3 linked regions of the Macaca fascicularis genome follow. The main gene of each other region encodes a partner of the protein of the gene in region 3 in a complex. Links are inferred from orthologs where the notes say so. Each region holds a gene or a part of one and is shown on either strand. Other genes may lie near its edges.

Region 1 (6,227 bases), on a different chromosome or scaffold from region 3:
AGCAATTTTGTAGGCGGCACAATGGTTTTGGCATGTGTGGAAAACTCATGAAGTATTTTGACCATCATCACTTGTAATTTGGCTACAATGCTTATTTTTTAGGCATATCATTTTTAGACTTTTTGTTTAAATTCTAAATTAATGTTTCTGAGTCCAAATATCTGCATGTTTATTGTACAGGAAATTTAAATTAAGAAAAAAATCAGAGTCATACATGAAAAAATACATGTATAGGTATAGTAATCATAGCTTTATGTATGATAGCAAAAATTAAAAATCATAAAAATATCCAATAAACTTGAAACAAATAAAAAATTTATGGGACATCTATATAACAGAATATTCTGTGATTTGTAAAAGATGATATTGTTGATGGACACTTGAAGAAAAGGGATAATGTTTATAATTCAATAATGAGGAAAAAGTCAGGATGAATATAATGATGTAAAACAGTAAATAAGTAGCTAGTAATGGTGATCAACAGGAATGATATTGTATATGATTTTTACTTTATTGTTTGCACTGAATATTACACATTTTCTTTAAGGTGCAAAATTTGTATAATAAGGGGGAACTTATAAGCAAAAGAAATAGGTTTTTTTTTTTTTTGTTTTTTTGTTTTTTGTTTTTTTTTGTGAGACAGAGTCTTTCTCTGTTGCCTAAGCTGGAGTTGAGTGGCACAATCTTGCTCACCGCAACCTCCGCCTCCAGGGTTCAAGCACTTCTTGTGCCTCAGCCTTTTGAGTAGCTGGGATAACAGGCATGGGCCATCACACCTGGCTAACTTTTGTATATTTAGTAGAGATAGGGTTTTGTCATGTTGGCCAGGCTGTTCTGACTTCAAGTGATTCTCCCTCTTGACCTCTCAAAGGGCTGGTATTACAGGCGTGAACCACCAGGCCCAAACCTAGGTTCTCAAATTAAGAAATTTTAAAGATTAAGAGATGTATTTTTTTCAAACAGGTATATGTAAAAAATGTGAAAAGTTCCCAGATGAATATAGAGCATCTATGATATGGCATGAATTGTATGCTGCATTTTATTTAAGGAACATTGAAAGAATTATACCAGGCTGTGATAAATATTAGATTCTAATATTTGTGGTTTACATAGAAAAAGAAACAATGGTATTAATTATGTAACATTTTCATCTGTGTCCATGTCAGAGCTCTGACTTGTTTCTTCACATATTTTCCTCCTAGGGGGGGAAAAAAAAAAGCCTTTATTGTGAATAAGTACCACAACTGAGAAGGGAAGGGTGTTCTTCTAGAACAAGGGGTATGGAAATGACTTAGTGAGGAGCCCTGTCCCAGTTTTGAAAATTGAGGATTTCATTGTTCCCAAAGTCCTACCACAGACTGCTGACAGGGTGCTCACATTTGGTTTTCTTGAGAGTTCCATGCCATATTTAAAACTAGAGAAAATTGGCATGGGACAAGATAATCTAAAACAGTAAATACATTTTATGGAAGCAGAAGCTGAGAAGGTTTCCCTGTCCAGATACAGCCTAAAAGTAGCTGGTCCCAAGTACCCAGATATGGTTAAGAATTTTGGAAAGATAGCCAATGATAGGCAATAAATAAATAAATAAATTAAAAATAATAATAATAAAAGAATTTTGAAGAGAAAGTGAGAATTTTAGAATCATTTATTGGTAAATTAATGCAATTATTTTCTGAGGTCAATTTTGTAACATCATCCTTATTTTAAAATGTGTATACCTTTGGACTCACAAGTCCCACTTCTAAGAATTTACTCTAAGGAGATTTGAACAACTATCAAGAATGGAAGGCATGAGTGCTTTCATTAAAGCCCATTTTATATTAGCAAGAAATTGAACATAAACTACAAATAAAACAATATGAAATGGGTAGATAAAGTCATTGACAGTTATATAATGGAATGCTGAGAATTTGCTAGAATAATTAGATGCATGCAAATGTACCAATAAGAGCAAGATGCACCTGCAAAAACAAGCCTAAGTGAGCGTACACAAACATGCACACTCATACACAACCCTAATCGGTGCTTATACATTCATACCAAATTTCTGGAAGAGGATCCAAACAGCTGTTAATGGTGGTTACATTTGCTGCGCATGAATGGGAGGTTGGTGAAGAGAGGGACATTTACTTTTCACTTTATGTGCTTCAGTGCTATTTATTTTACTTTTCACCCAAAACATATATGAAATCATTTTTAAAAGAGAAGAAACAACATGTGGAAAGTGTAACAAAGAAAAAACATCCCTTATGGCATAGAGCTAAAGATGATGTAGAAAGATGTATCGTTTTTGCCAGCCAGCACTGACAGAGCTGCACCTGATCCTCCTCAAGTTATAACTAACCACGTTTGTAGAATGCACACAGGGAAATTGAAGGGGAATTTCCTTTGCATTACTGGAAATAAATATTTTGGAAATGTGACTGAAAATGTGAAATTTATGGAGGTATGGGTGTCCGGGAAAAACAACTAACAATATCTTCCTGAAAAGAACAATAAATGAGACAGGAGATATTTTTAAGGAAGATCCAAAGTTGTAGAATAGCACTAAGGAAAACAAGTGAAATGGCACTTGAGGCTATTTAAAAAGGGTTACAAAAATTAAAGATCTTTAAGAACAAGGGCTATTAATGATATTTTAATTTTGTCACATTTGGGAAGTCCTACCTTGTGTTACAAGCCAGTATGTTGATGTCCCAAAAGTCCCTCTAGAAACCAACCTTGGTACAAGAGCATAGGCTCCAAGGACACGTACCCCCAGGGACCTCAGGCCCCATTGTGCTCATTCCATTGAAAAACTGAGAATTTGTTTCTCTCTGACCAAGTGATCTGTCCTAGCATATATTCACATAATATGAACTGAATCAAGTGAATTCTCACAAACAGTGGATGCTTTTCTTCACAGGTTCGTTTTTTTCCTGTGGACTTTTATTAAATTAGTACCTGTAAGGTCTCTTATCTTTAAGCAAAAAAAAAAAAAAAAAAAAAAAAAGTAGAATATTCTCTAATGGTTAGTTTCTTAATCTCAGTACCATGAACATTTTATACTGTATAATTTTTTGTTGTAGTGAACTGTCCTGTGCATTATAAGATGTTTAGCAACATCCTTGGCCTCTTCTCACCAGATACGAGCAGCAACCTTCTACCTCCCCAGTTGTGACAGCCAAAAAAGTCTCCAGACATTCCCAAATGACCCTGAGGAGTAAATTCAGCTCCAATTGAGAGCTATCGGTCTATAGAAAAGTCCCAAATGTCATACATATTTTTAATGGTGTGTAATTTATTTTCTTCTTCTACGTGGTTCCTTTTTCTGCGAAGTATTTCAAATTGCACTGTGCTGTGGGAAAGTCTCATTCTGGTGTCAGTAGTGTTGCACTGTGCTTTTTGGCCTCTGAATGTAACTATTAAGACTCTATAAACTAGTTTTAGAAAATAAGCATGGATTCAATCGTCCATTCAACAAAATCAATTCATTTCACAAGTGTTTATTGAAAGCCTACTATATGTCTGTCACAGAGTGAGCCACTAGTTTTATAGAAAATAAATGGATTGTCCTTGCCCTCTAAAACATTCTTGGTCTATTGGGGAAGACATATAAAATGATAACCATTTACAATACAGTGTGATAGGGCTCAAATAGACACCTTTAAAAGGTGTTATGTAAGTGTAACTAAGGAAATAAACAATAAAATTAAGCAAATTGAATGTTATTCCTTAAGTTTATGTTTTTATGTTGAAATAATATTAAAGGGTTTATCATTAGTATTTCTCTTTTAACACGTTTTCTTTTGTGTGTTTTTGTTTTCCTGCAGATGCTGTAGCTATCACATGGGCTAATCGAGTTTTTCCCTCATTGGCATGGATTATGCCTTTTGCTATTTCTACCTCATTATTTAGCAACCTTCTGATTTCTATATTTAAATCATCGAGACCAATATATCTTGCAAGCCAAGAGGGCCAGCTGCCTTTGCTATTTAATACACTTAATAGTCACTCCTCTCCATTTACAGCTGTGCTGCTACTTGTCACTTTGGGATCCCTTGCAATTATCTTAACAAGTCTAATTGATTTGATAAACTATATTTTTTTCACGAATTCATTATGGTCTATATTATTAATGATAGGAATATTAAGGCGGAGATACCAGGAACCCAATCTATCTATACCTTATAAGGTAAAATTTGATTTTCTAATTCTTTTCTGTGTGAAAGAACAGATATTGAGTATAACTGTATTTCAGATTATAATCAAGGCATCTATAAGTAGATCTTCTGAATACTCAGTTATTGTGAAACATAAGAATAATCTGGTCTTGGTTTTAATTTTCATTTTTATTGGCTAGGTTACTCAATATAAAGTCTCTTATATTCCATTTAATGGTTTATTAGAGAGAAAAACAGTTCTCTGGATGGTTAGACAGATCATTATGAGTCTTTTGAACAGATATTATTTTGTCTACTTATGTAACTAGTTATGCATATGAATGTCTTCCACAGTCAGGGTCAGATTTAGCAGATGAGAAACAGAAGAGGCAAGGTGAGGTCACAAGTGATAACATCCACTGTTCTGAAACATCAACTTACTTTGTTGGCAAATTCCAGTCTTTCAACTTTACTTATTTTAAACTGACTTTCAGTCTGTATGAAAAAAATTTTCACAGGAGAGGAGACAACCATTTAATTGTAGAAAAACAAATAAGCAGCAAAACTTGGTAGCATAAGAATGTTATTGGAGAGAGATGGCCCTGACACTGATGATCAGAATAATAAAATAATCTTGGTTGCCTAGGTAGGTTGTTCAAAGCTTGGCTTGGATGATCACCTTTAATCCTCTCAGTAATAGAAAGGTGGATTCTATTGTTATTCCCATTTTACAGATAAGAAAACAGACTTAGAAAAGTTAGGTCACTTGCCCAAGCTCACACAGCGTGGATTAGAGCAAGATTTAAATCTAGGCAGTCTCTTTGGAGTGTTTGACTCTCGCTAAATACAAAATATACGAAAGAACTGCTGAGAGAACGAAAGCAATGTTCCCATCACCAGCTGTGGTTGATTTATGTCCTTCTTTCCTTTCCAGCCTTCTTTTCAACTTCTTCCATCCAGTCATCTCGTAATTGTTGTGTATCTGAGTATTAGTTGTCAAGAGGCAACTATATTTTAAGCACCTTGCTAGGTACTCTGAGTAGAAAAATAATTAAGACTTGGCTCCTGCCTTTAGTCAGGTTATAATCTATCTGCACAGTCATGTAAACCAAAAATCATGGCGTGATGATTGCTACCTAGTGATTTGCAGAGGAAGCTCAGAGAACGCATATGGAGAGAGATCGAATCTACAGCAGGGTTGATGGTCGTAGTCCCCCTCGGATGTGCCTCCCTAACATCTGCTCTCTGTATAGTTTCACATGCTGCATCTTTTTAATGTCTTTTGCTGTTTTCTCACCCACACTTTTGTTAGATCACTGACCCTAATAGATACAATTATAAAGAAGTTATGAACTGGGGGATAAATTAGTTATACACAAATAACAGCATAAGATAATCATTAAGAGCTTTGGGCTCAAGTCCAGTTGCTTGGCTAATAGCTGAGTTTAGTCTTGTTATTGAACCTCTGAACCTCAGTTTCTTCAGATGTAAAATGGGAAAAAATAATACCTACCTCCTATTAGCATTGGATGTATTAAGTAAGCTAAGGCATGCAAACAATCCAGGGTCTGACATTGATGGCTATTATTGCTTATATTATTATTCAACTTACATTTGCATCAGAAAGGAAGGCAAGAACAGCCTTAAGTACAAGTGGCTAAAATTTGTCTTGTATGCCCCCAGGAGTGCTCTTTTCTTTTCTCTCAATTATTTGATAACTGATACTGAGCCATGAGATGATAAAGTATCTTTATTATTTATTTATTTATTTATTTATTTATTTATTTATTTTGTTTTTTGAAATGGAGTCTCACTCTGTCGCCCAGGATGGAGTGCAGTGGCGCAATCTCAGCTCACTGCAAACTCCACCTCCTGGGTTCACGCCAATCTTCTGCCTCAGCCTCCCGAGTGGCTGGGACTACAGGAGCTCACCACCACACCTGGCTAATTCTTTTGTATTTTTAGTAGAAACGGAGTTTCACCACGTTAACCAGGATGGTCTCGATCTCCTGATCTCGTGATCCGCCTGTCTCAGCCTCCCAAAGGGCTGGGATTACAGGTGTGAACCACCGTACCCGGCCT
Region 2 (6,931 bases), on a different chromosome or scaffold from region 3:
ATACGCCTCTGAGCTGGGCAGAGGAGAAAGGAGTGCACCACCAAAGCAGAGGGAAGTCAGGGCCTAGAGTCCTGGCCAGAGGCTCCATGCAGGGTGAGCAACGGAGGCCTCCCAGAAACAGAAACATTCAGGGACTGTGAACTTTCTGGGTGCCATTTTCTTTTATCTTATTTTTATTTACTTATTTATTTAGAGTCAGATCTGTCACCCAGGCTGGAGCACAGCAGTGAGATAATAGCTCACTGCAGCCTCAAACTGCTGGCCTCAAACAATCCTCCCAAATCAACCTCCCAAAGTGCTGGGATTGCAGGCGTAAGCCACCATGCCTGGCCCAGTGCCATTTGCTAGGATGTGAGCTTTCTCAGAACAGAACCCAGCTCAAAGAGACACCGGATGGTTCCATGCCTGTGAAGCTCAAGAACAAGTGAAACGAATCCACGGCGACAGGAATGCAAGGCTGGGACCCTGTCCAGAAAGGGGCAGGAGGGAGCTTTCTGGGGTGGTACATCTGTCAAAACTCACCAAACTCAGCACTAAAGATCTGTACATTTCAGCCAGGTGCGGTGGTTCATGCCTGTAATACCAGCACTTTGGGAGGCCAAGGCAGGCGGATCACCTGAGGTCGCAAGTTCGAGACCAGCCTGGCCAACACGGAGAAACCCTGTCTCTACTAAAAAATACAAAAATCAGTCAGGCATTCTGGTGCACGCCTGTTCCTAGCTACTCAGGAGGCTGAGGCAGGAGAATCTCTTGAACCCCGCGAGGCAGAGGTTGCAGTGAGCCACTGCACTCCAGCCTGGGTGACAGTGAGACTCTGTCTCCAAAAAAAAAAAAAAAACCTGCACATTTCACTGTATGTAAATTACACACCAATCAAGGATGAAAAAAAAAAGTCCAACTCAAGCTCTACTCATAACACCTGTCCTCAGAAGCAGCCCCCAGCCAGATCTCCAGAGCCTGAAGTTTCCAGCGCCCGTGTTCACCTGTCTGGGAAGAGGCTGGGCTTGGAGTCAGATTGCAGGGGATGAAGGGCTCCCAGCTGCAGGCTGCCACCCTGGGGACTCTCCGCACACCAGCGGGATCCCTGGGGAGCAGCGTCAGCTTTCAGGGCCAGGACGCACTTCCAGGACAGGGCTCAGCTCTCCTCCTCATCTCAGCCCTGTTTGGCTCCAGAGTCCTCCCTCCTGCTGAGGGACTGCCTGGGTTCTGATGTGGGTGAGGCCTGCATTCACCCTGAAGCTGCCTGACTGAGGGGTAGACCCAGCTCAGATTTTCAGTTTTTAGAGTCAGGGTCTTGCTCTGTCACCCAGGCTTGGAGTGCAATGGCACGATCATGACTCACTGCAACCTCGATTTCCTGGGCTCAAGCGATCCTCCCTCCTCAGCCTCCCAAAGTGCTAAGGTTACAGGCATGTGCCGCCACACCTGTCCCCAGCTCAGAAGACACATCTGGGGATTTCTCAGCTGTGCTCTGTGGCCACTGGGCCCAACAGGGTTCCAAGAGGCCCTTGCTGAGATCAGGCCTGAGACTGGCCGAGAGGGAGAGGGCTGCAGCCCATCGTCTACCTCCTGGGGACCCCAGTCCCAGGCCAAGCCATTCAGGCCATTGCCAGCCCCCTGGTCAAGTCCTAAAGCCTTGGTGCGGTCCCTCCTCCATCCCCTCTGCTGCCAGGCATGGGAGCTCTCGGAGGCCCCACCCACACCACTGCCCTGGAAGCGGAAACCATCCCGAGCTTGCCTAGGGCTGCCTTTCCTCCTCCTCGGAGCCTGAAGCCCTCCCCGCTCCTCCATGCTCAGCACCTGCTGCTCCCAACTGCCTGGGCCTGCCGCGGTGACCCGTGTGGAGCTCCTTTCTGCCTTCCCACAGCCCCAAGCTCCCTTCCCCTCCAGGCCCAGGGCCAGCCCCAGCTGCTCACTGCACCCCAACTCAGAGCGGCCGTCCCTGGTAGATGCCTCTAAGACAGAACAGGCTATGCTGGGGGCAGTACTTCCCCTTACTACAGCCATTCAGACATAAGAGGGACAGGCATTTAGAGGGGACTCAACCATCAGAACACCCTCTCTGGCTGGGCACAGTGACTCACGCCTATAATCCCAGCACTTTGGGAGCCCGAGGTGGGAGGATGGCTTGAGCCCAGGAGTTCCAGACCAGCCTGGGCAACACAGCAAGACCCTGCCTCTACAGAAAAAAATTTTTTGAAAAGTTAAAAATTTGCCAGGGCATTGTGGTGCACCCCTGTAGTCCCAGCTACTCCGGAGGCTGAGGCAGGAGGATCACTTGAGCCCAGGAGGTCGAGGCTGCAGTGAGCCATGATTGTACCACTGCACTCCAGCCTGGGTGACAGAGCAAGACCTTGTCTCTAAATTTTTTTTTTTTTTTAATTTTTTAAAAAGAGGCCCTTTCTGACCATTCCTGGAAAGGTCATTAGTTTGAACAAAACTACTGGCCCCTCTAGACATTTGCCCAACACACAAAAGCACCCAGGTATGAACTTAAAATAATATGTGGGCCGGGCAAGTTGGCTCACGCCTGTAATCCCAACACTTGGGAAGCCAAGGTGGGCAGATCTCTTGAGGCCAGGAATTGGAGGCCAGCCTGGCCAACATGGTGAAACCCTGTCTCTACTAAAAATACAAAAATTAGCCAGGCATAGTGGCACATGCCTGTAGTCCCAGCTACTCAGGAGACTTAGGCAGGAGAACTGTTTGAACCCAGGAAGCAGAGGTTGCAGTGAGCTGAGATCAAGCCACTGCACTCCAGCCTGGGCGACATAGCAACACTCTGTCTCAAAAAAAAAAAAAAAAAAATGCAGCCGGGTGCAGTGGCACACACCTGTAACCCCAGCACTTTGGGAGGCCGAGGTATGAGGATCACCTGAGGTCAGGAGTTCGAGACCAGCCTGGCCAACATGGCGAAACCCCATCTCTACTAAAAATACAAAAATTAGCCGGGTATGGTGGCGGGCGCCTATAATCCCCACTACTCAGGAGCCTGAGGCAGGAGAATCCCTTGAACCGGGGAGGTGGAGGTTGCAGTGAGCCGAGATGGCGTCACTGCACTCCAGCCTGGGCGACAGAGCAACACTCCATCTAAAAAAAAAAAAAAAAAAAAAGAATATACAGAGTTCCCTGGTGAGAGGGAAAGAGGGAAAGAAGTAGGTCCAGAGATTGTCCCTTTAAAGATGTAATTCACAAATCAAAGAGCACATCTTCTGCCGTGTCACTAGGGATCGGCCCGGATTTCACTGCCTGCGCCCCTCGTTCAGACGCCCTTGCCTAACCTGCAAAGGGCCCGCCCCGCCAGAGACCGCCTTACCTCCTTTTGGAGATTGGTGGTCTTGGGCTCTTGGCTCTGGATCGACTTCTCATCCTCTCTCCGCTTTCTCAGGCCAGTATCCCCCATGTTTCCTCCTGCTGGTTCCAGGAGACTGCAAGGAAGGCGCACAGCTGAATCTTGGTTCAGCAGCAGCAAACAAGATGCAAGTGCAAGCTCGGCCTGGACTAGGGGAGCTGGCTCCAAAAGCACAGTGTTGGTTACTGCGACAGGCGGGGGCCGCTGCCAGTCCTGCAGGGCTCATGCGCTGGGCCCCAGAGTCAAAGTCAGTCATTAACACTGTCCAGGCAGGGGAACACAGCTCCCCGCTGTTCTCCAAAGCTCAGCTGCTTGCTTAGCTTTCTCCCAGACAGGCCCCGGGAGCCTTCTGGCCCACGTGCCTGTGCCTTGAAAGTTATTCTACCTCCGTGGTCCAACTTCATTTTTTTTTTTCAAAAGTTAAAAGAAATATTTAACAACATCCTGGGCTGGGCACAATGGCTCAGGCCTGTAATCCCAGCACTTTGGGAGGCCAAGGTGGGCGGATCACTTGAGCCCAAGAGTTTGAGACCAGCCTGGCCAACATGGCGAAACCCCGTCTCCACTCAAAATGAAAAAAAAAAAAAAATTAGCTGGGCATGGTGGCGGGTGCCTGTAATCCCAGCTACTCAGGAGGCTGAGGCAGGAGAATCACTTGAACCTGGGAGGTGGGGGTTGCAGTGAGCCAAGATCGTGCCACTGCACTCCAGCCTGGGCCACAGAGCGAGACTCCGTTTCAAAAAAAATAAAATATAAAAAATTTAAAAATGAAAATATTGTGGAATGTATTTATCAGAATCAAGTCCAGGTAAGGAGTGTGTGTCTTATAATTCCTTCCCAAGATTAAAGACACTCCCCTACATCACAGAGCCACAATACAATACAGGTACTTTTTCTTTGTACTTTTTAAATTTTTACAATATTTTTTTTGTAAAGATGTGAGTCTCGCTATTTGCCCAGGCTGGCCTCCAACTCCTGGGCTCAGGCAGTCCTTCCACCTTGGCTTCCCAAAGGGCTGGGATTTCAGGGGTGAGCCACCGCGCCTGGCCAGGTACTTTTTCATTAAGTGATGAAAGGAATGAAAACATTGCCAAGGAAACCCAGTTCCAGACTGAATTAGGAGGTAACCATGCACCACTGTACCCTCTCTCTAAATAAATTCTCTGTCCAGGCCCCGGCCAGGAGAGCCATGAGCCTTTCTATCACCCACGGACCTTACCTTCCTCCGTGACCCTGCAGAGCCGGAGAAGCTGCGGCCCAGCTGACCGCCCGTGCCTGCACGGTCCAACCCTAGGAATGGCCATGTCTTGTGCCCAGGAGTGAAGGAAGTCCAGAAGGTACAGAGGTCAATAAAGGTAATTATTAAACACCTTTTTTTTGGTTTTGTTTTAGCCATGAAGCTTAGATACGCCACACAAAAAGGGGAGGGTGAGGCAGACCAATTTCTCTCCAAAACTGTTTTTGTTCATTTGTGTCTAGGTCAGATTATTTTTTTAAAACCAGATAGTCCCAAATCATCTACACTTTTTACCTAAAGATAAAATAAATTATGCCTTCTTTTATCTTTGGGAATCAGAGGAGGTAAACTTTGGAACCAATTCTCTAATTGCTTTAATAGGCTATATTTAAAACCCAAGTCAGGCAGCTCAAACAGGAACTGCTGTGTGTGTGTAACTCAGCTGTTTGTCAGTTTCCTCCCTGCCCAGGAAATTCCCCCAAGCCCCAGGCCTGCCTCTGGCTGAGCAGGTGAGAGCGGTTGAGCCCGTCCCACTCCTCTTTACCAGTGATGGGGCTTCACCACTTGGAGCCATGAGCAGGCCTGAGGCAGTGCAGGCCCCCACGTCCTCCCTGCAGCTGTGGCCAAATGCCCATCAGATTTGGCTGTGGTGCTGTTCACGTAGCCCTGTCCTGGCTCATCAGACACAAGGGACACAAAACCTTCCCCATCGGGGAAACAGAGGCCTATGGGGGGACAGGAAACACATGGCCAGGAAGCTCCGGTCCCCATCCAGGGCTGCCAGGGTCTGGATGTCTCCGGGAGGGAGCAGAGGTTCTCCCGCGCTGCGACTGGACCTTGGGTCAGGCGGCAGCCTCAGAGGTCAGCACTAAGCCCTTTCAGATAGGGAAGGAAGCACCTTATGAGACAGTTAGGACAGCCTGGCACAGCATAAGCACTGCGTGTGAAGCATTGTAGCTGTTATCTTCAGCCAAAACTCTGGTAGCTTTGCCTCGAGGCAAACCTAACTGCATCCCAGATATTGGATGGAAGCAAAGGTCAGGGGTGGAAGGAGCTGGGCGAGTCTCTGGGGGACAGTTTGGGGCAAGCAGACCTGAGAGAGGCACAGGTTTCTCTCAAAGCCGTCTGCAGAGCACAGGAACCTGATTTAGAAGTTCATCAGCTCCAGGCCGGGCGCGGTGGCTCACTCCTGTAATCCCAGCACTTTGGGAGGCCGAGGCGGGTGGATCACCTGAGGTCGGGAGTTCAAGACCAGCCTGACCAACATGGAGAAACCCCGTCTCTACTAAAAATACAAAAAATTAGCCAGACATGGTAGCACATGCCTGTAATCCCAGCTACTCGGGAGGCTGAGGCAGGAGAATCGCTTGAACCCAGGAGGCGGAGGTTGCAGTGAGCAAAGATCGTGCCATTGCACTCCAGCCTGGGCAAAAAGAGCGAAACTCCATCTCAAAAAAAAAAAGAAGTTCATTACCTCCCATCTTGGGAGGGCACAGCCTGTTTACCTGCCTGCCATGCCCAGAGCCCTGAGCAGAGAGGCTGGAGAGTAGACGCCAGGGGCTGGCGGCAGGTCCTGCCACCCCCAGACAGAACCTGCCCACAGGCTTGCTGGGGTCACTCCTCCTAATGCTGCAGCCTCGTCATAGCACCTGGCACATCCATGTTTGCAAAACACCACAGAATACTCCCTGGGGAAACGTGCTCCTGGCGGGCTGACAGGAGACCACATGAGGAGGGCAGGGTGGGGCAGTGGTCCCCTGCTGGGGCCAGACACCAGACAGCCCTGCAACCTCACCCACTCCCCACATGGGCTCAGGCAGCACTGCCAGGATCAGGATCTGAATCTGCAAAGCGGGGCTAGCAACAGGCGCCTCCTCGTGGAACACATTGAACTTGCGTGTTCCATGAATGTCCAGGAATAGACCTCTGCCAAGTGCCGAGTTTGGAACGTCAGGGTGTGAGGGTCCTTCGTTAAGTCAGAAACCTCCACTTCAGTTCATTTTGGGTCCACGGTGAGCATTTCTTAAGCCTGTTTCTTAAAGTTGTGTTTTTCACCCCAGTCCCACCCTCTCTCTCCCTTGAATACACAGAAAGTATTCAAGTAATTCTCATAAGCTCTTCCTCATGGAAAATAATACAGATTTGATTTAAAAAGCAAAATTTTCCTCAGTTCTTGAAGATTGTTGGTTCATTGTGTATCCAGTGCTTCTGCCATGTGGCTGAAGTTTCACCTCCCTGCTGTCAATTTTTTTTTTTTTTTTTTTTTTTTTTTACATGGAGTCTCATTCTGTCGCCCAGGCTGGAGTGCAGTGGCTTAATCTTGGCTCACTGCAACCTCGCCT
Region 3 (6,227 bases):
GGTCTCAGTCTCCTGACCTCATGATCCACCCACCTCGGCCTCCCAAAGTGCTGGGATTACAGGTGTGAGCCACTGTGCCCGGCCTCCTGAGGAATTTGTTGTTTTAAAATTATGGCAAAATATGCATAAAACATAATTTTAAACATTCAAAAGTGTGTAATTCAATGCATTAAATACATTCAAAATGTTGTACAACCATCACCATCCCAAACAGAAAATCTGTACCCACTAAACATTAATTCCTCACTCCCACCACTAACCCGATATCCTCCATTCTATTTTCAGCCTCTATAAATTTGCTTATTCTAGGTACCTCATATAAGTGGAATCATAACAATATTTGTCCTTTTGTGTCTGCCTCATTTCACTTAGCTTAATGTTTCCAAGTTCCCTTCATACACACAATAGCATGTATCACATCTTACTCCTTATGACTGAATAACATTCCATGGTACCTATGTAACACATGTTTTCTATTCATCTGTTGGTGACATTTGTGGTTTTGCCTTCTTTTGGCTACTAGAATAATGTTACAAACCAATGGTGTACAAGTATCTGTTTAAGCCCCAGATTTCAATTCTTTTGGATCTATACCATGGAGTGGAATTGCTGGATCACGTAATACTTCTTTCTTGTTTTTGTTTTGTTTTTTGAGATAGAGTCTCACTATCACCCAGGTTGGAGTGCAGTGGTATGATCTTGGCTCACTGCAAACTCCACCTCTGGGTTCAAGTAATTCTTATGTCTCAGCCTCCTGTGTAGCTCAGATTACAGGCGTGTGCCACCATGACTGGCTAATTTTTTTTATTTTTAGTAGAAATGGGGTTTTGACATGTTGGCCAGGCTGGTCTGGAACTCCTGGCCTCAAGTGATTTGCTGCCTTGGCCTCCCAAAGTGCTGGGATTACAGGCATAAGCCACCGTACCCAGCCTTTTTTTTGGAGACAGGGTCTCACTTTGTCACCCAGGCTGGAATACAATGGTGTGAACATGGCTCATGGCAGCCTTGACTTCCTGGGCTCAAGCAATCCTCCTGCCTCAGCTCCCACCAAGTAGCTGGGACTATAGGTGCATGCCACCATCTCTGGCTAATTTTTGTATTTTTTGTGGAGATGGGGTTTTGCCATGTTGTCCAGGCTGGTCTTGAACTCCTGAGCTCAAGTGATCCTCCCGCCTTGGCCTCTCAAAGTGTTAGGATTGCAGATGTGAACCACTGTGCCCAGCCTTGGATCATATAATAATTCTCTGATTTTGAGGAACTACCAAACTTTTCCATAGTGACTTCTCCATTTTACATTCCCATCAGCAATGCATGAAGGTTCCAATTTCTTTTCATCCTCCCTGACACTTTTCTGTCTTGTTTTTAGAAATTATGCTCATCATAGTACATATGAAGTGGTATCTCATTTTCTCATTACTGAATAACAGTTTTGCTGGATATAGAAATCTTGGTTTACATTTCTTTCTTTCATCAGTTCGAATATATCATCCCATTGCCCTCTGGCCTCTATGGTTTCTGTTAAGTCAGTTGCTAATCTTATTGAGATTCCTTACATGTGATGTACCAATTTTCTTTGCTCCTTTAAAGATTGTGTCTTTCAACGGTTTGACTGATAGTGTCTAAGTGTGGGTTTTTAAAAATTTTGTCCTACTTGGAGTTCACTGAGGTTCTTAGATACACAATTTTTTAAAAAATCAAATTTGGGAAGTTGTTGGCTATTTTTTCAAATATTGTTTCTGACCATTTCTCTCCCTTCTCTCCTTTTGAGACTCCCACTTTGCATATGTTGGTATGCATGATAGTATCCCACAGGTTTCTGAGAGTCTGCTCTTTTTTCTGAGATAGGGTTTTGCTCTGTTGCCCAGGCTGGAGTGCAGTGGTGTAAACATGGCTCACTGCAACCCTGACGTGCTATACTCAAACAATTTTCCCATCTCAGCTTCTTGAGTAGCTGAGACTACAGGTGCATGTCACCATGCCTGGCTAAATTTTTAATTTTTTGTAGACATGGAGTCTCACCATGTTGCCCAGGCTGGTCTAGAACTCCTGGGCTCAAGCAATCCTCCTGCCTTGGCATCCCAAAGCACTGGGATTACAGGTGGCAGCCACAGTACCTGGCCTCATTCTTCTCTATTTTTTCTTTCTGGTTCTCAGGCCAGATACTCTCAATTGACCTGTCTTCAAGTTTTCTGATTCCTTTGCTAGTTCAAATTGTCAAGTCCCTCTAGTAAATATCTCACTTTAGCTATTGTACTTAACTCTAAAATTTTAATTTTTTCATAATTTCTCTTTATCTATTTGATAACTGTTCATATACTTTAAATTCTTTAGACACAGCTCTTTTCTTTGAATATCAAAATATTAGCTGGTTTAAAGTCTTTGTCTAGTAAGTCCAATGTTTGGTCTTCCTAAGCAACATTTGCTATTGACTGCCCCCACCATTATATGAGCCATATTTTCCTGTTTTCTTTCCCTGTTTTGTATATTTGTTGTTGTTGTTAAAAACTGGACATTTTAAGTAGTATGACAATTCTGGAAATCACATTCTTCCTTTCCCAGTGTTTGTTGTGCTCTATGTCCAGAAGGCTTGAGAAATCAAAGGGTTTCTTATCAGAAGATCTCATGATAGAGAAAAGAATAAAAAGATGGAGGCAAAAATTGACCTAATTTTCTGGCCATAAATATAAAAAAATACTTCACAATGGTCTATAAAAACATAATTATAAAGATCATTTTCATACATCCTAGGAAGTTAAAAAAAAAAGCAACCTCCTATTTCTTGAATTGTAGCAATTAAGTCTTATCCTAAGACTCAAGTTCAAATGCTAGTTCTGTCTCATACTACTACTTGAATAAATGATGCAATTTCTCAGAGCTTGTTTCCTCATTTGTAAAATGGAGATAGTACTTGCACTGTTGTGTGAAGGAGGGAAATATAGGTGTGAAAGTACTTTTTAAAAAGTAAAGTGCCATGCTCAGCCTATGCACGTGAGGGTTTGAGTTGTGGGTTATGGAGAGTTGTCAGGTGATTTAAATAAATTCTTATTTAAACAAACTCTTATTTAAATAAGGGCTAGAACATTTAACATGGAAATATATTTACAAATAGAAAACACTTTATAACATTTCATCTTGGACTATGTAAATTCTTTCCAAAAGTTGATTTACTTTAAAAATTTTGTCCGAATAGTTCATAAGTCAAAACAATTTTTTAAAAGAGGACACGTCAGAAGTCTCTCATGCCTGTCCTTTCACCTTGTTCCATTGTCTTGCTCTCTGCAACAGTTTTGTTTCCTTTCCTGTCAATATTCTCTTATCCAGATATGAGAAAATATGACTATGTATGTACCCTCTGAGTTTTATTTGCAATATCATTGTAAATTCTTACCACTCTTTTCTTGCTCATCAGTGGCCAAGATAATAAATTGGTCACTTACACAGCAAATAGCAGGCCTAGGACTCAAGTTCAGGCTTGCTAGTAACAAGGTACCATATCTACTTTGTTCTGCTACCTGGTGAACTTTCTGTGAAATAGGGTAAATCTTTCAGAAAACTGTGTTATAGAGCTGTGTTCTTAAAAATATCTGCCTTTCAGATTGGTGGACCAGACAGTTCCCGGCTGACTTCTCGTTTGGGGAATGAGTATGTCAACGTGATGAACATGCTTCTTTTCACACTGCCTGGAACTCCTATAACTTACTATGGAGAAGAAATTGGAATGGGAAATATTGTAGCCATAAATCTCAATGAAAGCTATGATACTGTAAGTTGAATACAACTTGACTATTCATCACAGCTATAAAACCAAGTATTCATTTTTTATTTTTTGCCAAATCAGAGAACTTACTATCTCTCTATTCCATTGTTGAAAATCATGGTTACTTTGCTTTTCTTTCTTACTGTTAGTAGGAATTCTCAGCTTTCTTGGCGGTTTGAGAGCTTATTTTAAAAATGCTTTTGGAGCCACCAACTAAATTTCTTGGGTAGGGCATTTTAAAGATGTTTTCTACCTGACAGGCACATTAAAATTTATTTATTTATTTATTTGCTGGGAATACTGTGTTGAGAGGCACACTAAAATTGGAGAACCAGTGGTTTAGTTTAGAATATTATTCATTTCCCTCTGCTTGAAATGTGGAGTTAGGAACACTTATTTCTTTAGTTCTCATTTGTCCTGTTTGGTCTTGGGTGACCATAGCACAAAGACCCTTTCTTTTCTGTTATCATGTGCAGTGCACAGCCTCAACGTCAAGCATTTTTTATTCTGTAGCTATAGATTTCAGAATTGTGTTGCTGTGTAGATGACTGTCTTGCAACTTTAATTTGCCTGGTTAGCCTTCAATTGTATGAGATCCAATTTCCCTAATATTTGATTAAGGTGAAGCTTTTTTTTTTTCTATTAGCTCCTACATTTGTGTGTGTGCACTCATGAGCAGTAACCAGGCTGAATAAATGAGCAGAATAGAATTCACACTCACTTGTACATGGCAGTGTTCTTAAATTCACCATCACTGTACCACAGAAGTCATGTATATTGGTAATAGCACACTTTGAAATCCTATATTACTGATTTTTAGGAAAAAGCAGCAAAGATTTCAAGCATGTATTAAAGTTCAATTTGTATTGTCTATTCAAACTCAAAATGTTAAATTAGTATTGTCTATTCAAACTCAAAATGTTATTAGGTACTTTCCAGTTAAAAGTGTGAAACTGGTTTATGTACCTATTGTTAAGGCCTTTTCATCACAAATGCTAATGAGTACAGACACTAGCTAAGAACTATAGGGAATTAAATAATTATGAAGTAAATCAGGACCAAAGTACATTTCTTTTAATAACCAAACCACTGTTTTCCCTTTCTGGTCTTTTGATATAGAATACCCTCCACTCAAAGTCACCAATGCAGTGGGACAACAGTTCAAATGCTGGTTTTTCTGAAGCTAGTTACACCTGGTTACCCACCAATTCAGATTACCACACTGTGAATGTTGATGTAAGTATGAGTGAAAATTTTATGTTGATTTTAGAAACAAGAAGTGGGTTTCTACTGAAAGTACACACTCACCCTGAATGTGTCTAAACCTTCACAGATACTCTTTACATCAATCAAAGACTTCCCTTGTAGTTTTCAATTTGTAAGGAGTTTGTAAATCATGCCTTTGTGAAAATACAAACTGGTAGAAATCTACCAAGTGAAGTGAAGTATCATACAGAATATACAAGTCTTCATTAGAATGACCTTTACTAAGGCCTTTGAGCTATGAAGGAAATTTTATAGAAGTTTTTTAGTTAGCCCAGCTACCCTTCCTCTTCTCTTCCCCTCAAAATGTGGTGAGAGAGGCGTGTGGGTGGATAGGCAGCCACACAGGCAGGAAGGAGATCATCAACCCAGAGCAAGGCTCAAATCCACACTACTGTTCTGAAGAAACAGAAGCCATACATGATCCTTGAAGTGGTTGCTCTGGTATACTAATACCACTTTGGCTTTTGCCCTTTTTTCTGTTCCCACAATGATCAAGCACTAATATCATTCAGTAGCCAAAACTTCACTGGAAAACAAACTAAATCAATTTAGGGGAAATGAAATTATAGATGCCACATGGAGATGCTTAAGAAATGCTAAGAAATGCATAGCACAACCCCCACCCCCCTGCTGCACGCACACACACACACCATGCCCCATCCCAGTCTACTGAGTAATCTGAGGAAACTCCCCAGGATATTCAGATACAGAAAGCCACACAAACCCTCATGCTCCCACAGCTCCCTGCTACAAACACCACTGAGAATTCCTGGACAGTATAAGCTTTGTTTTATATAGCTGTAGGTCTTGAAGACACAAAAAATATATTTAACATTTGTGTTTTGGGTTGAATGCCTCTTGATTTTCATTATGTCTAAAATATTCCCATAGCCAATCTGAATACAGTATGTACGAAATCCTACATATAAAAATCCATACCAGCAAAGTTGGAGAAAATGTAAATTAAAACTGAAATTTTTTCTTTTTATTTCTTTGAGATGGAGTTTCACTCTTGTTGCCCAGGCTAGAGTGCAATGGCGTGGTCCTGGCTCACTGCAACCTCCACCTCCTGGGTTCAAGTGATTCTCCGACCTTGGCCTCCCAAGTAGCTGGGATTACAGGCGTCCACCACCATGTATGGCTAATTTTTGTATTTTTAGTAGAGACAGTGTTTCACCATGTTGGGCAGGCTGGTTTCAAACTC

What was found.
Region 1: the proteins of SLC3A1 (region 3) and SLC7A13 are in contact, whole or in part, in a cryo-EM structure (PDB 8WK6), measured with the Homo sapiens proteins. The link is inferred for Macaca fascicularis from reciprocal best matches to the Homo sapiens genes SLC3A1 and SLC7A13. Residues at the interface, in NP_000332.2 of Homo sapiens: Pro64, Tyr65, Ala66, Gly67, Met68, Pro69, Lys70, Leu73, Phe76, Ser77, Arg81, Tyr82, Pro85, Arg86, Leu89, Phe90, Thr93, Ser96, Val97, Leu100, Ile101, Thr104, Ile107, Ile108, Ser111, Cys114, Leu115, Glu194, Asn195, Asp202; in NP_620172.2 of Homo sapiens: Ile120, Phe123, Phe124, Pro125, Ser126, Cys127, Leu132, Pro133, Cys136, Leu137, Leu139, Ala140, Met141, Trp143, Ile147, Arg151, Lys187, Thr265, Arg267, Asp281, Arg282, Glu450, Cys454, Tyr455, Gln457, Leu458, Leu459, Phe460, Asn461, Ile462.
Region 2: the proteins of SLC3A1 (region 3) and SLC7A9 are in contact, whole or in part, in a cryo-EM structure (PDB 6LID), measured with the Homo sapiens proteins. The link is inferred for Macaca fascicularis from reciprocal best matches to the Homo sapiens genes SLC3A1 and SLC7A9. Residues at the interface, in NP_000332.2 of Homo sapiens: Pro64, Tyr65, Ala66, Gly67, Met68, Pro69, Lys70, Leu73, Phe74, Phe76, Ser77, Tyr82, Pro85, Arg86, Phe90, Thr93, Val97, Leu100, Ile101, Ala103, Thr104, Ile107, Ile108, Ser111, Cys114, His201, Asp202, Thr373, Glu374, Pro375; in NP_001119807.1 of Homo sapiens: Cys137, Phe140, Tyr141, Val142, Gly143, Cys144, Pro147, Ile149, Val150, Cys153, Leu154, Ala156, Ala157, Leu160, Phe161, Thr164, Leu168, Thr279, Thr281, Asp295, Arg296, Tyr299, Tyr343, Val346, Arg347, Lys467, Thr470, Met471, His472, Gln474.

Annotation. Positions count from the first base shown.
Region 1 is NC_088382.1:95,959,361-95,965,587, reverse strand, and holds part of SLC7A13 (solute carrier family 7 member 13), read left to right. Parts: intron 1-3,815; coding exon 3,816-4,177; intron 4,178-6,227. UniProt on the Homo sapiens protein: Associates with SLC3A1/rBAT to form a functional heterodimeric complex that transports anionic and neutral amino acids across the apical plasma membrane of renal epithelium.
Region 2 is NC_088393.1:40,134,948-40,141,878, forward strand, and holds the start of SLC7A9 (B(0,+)-type amino acid transporter 1), read right to left. Parts: upstream 4,651-6,931; 5' UTR 4,572-4,650; intron 3,515-4,571; 5' UTR 3,404-3,514; coding exon 3,317-3,403; intron 1-3,316. UniProt on the Homo sapiens protein: Associates with SLC3A1 to form a functional transporter complex that mediates the electrogenic exchange between cationic amino acids and neutral amino acids, with a stoichiometry of 1:1.
Region 3 is NC_088387.1:77,737,857-77,744,083, reverse strand, and holds part of SLC3A1 (amino acid transporter heavy chain SLC3A1), read left to right. Parts: intron 1-3,595; coding exon 3,596-3,763; intron 3,764-4,876; coding exon 4,877-4,993; intron 4,994-6,227. UniProt on the Homo sapiens protein: Acts as a chaperone that facilitates biogenesis and trafficking of functional transporter heteromers to the plasma membrane.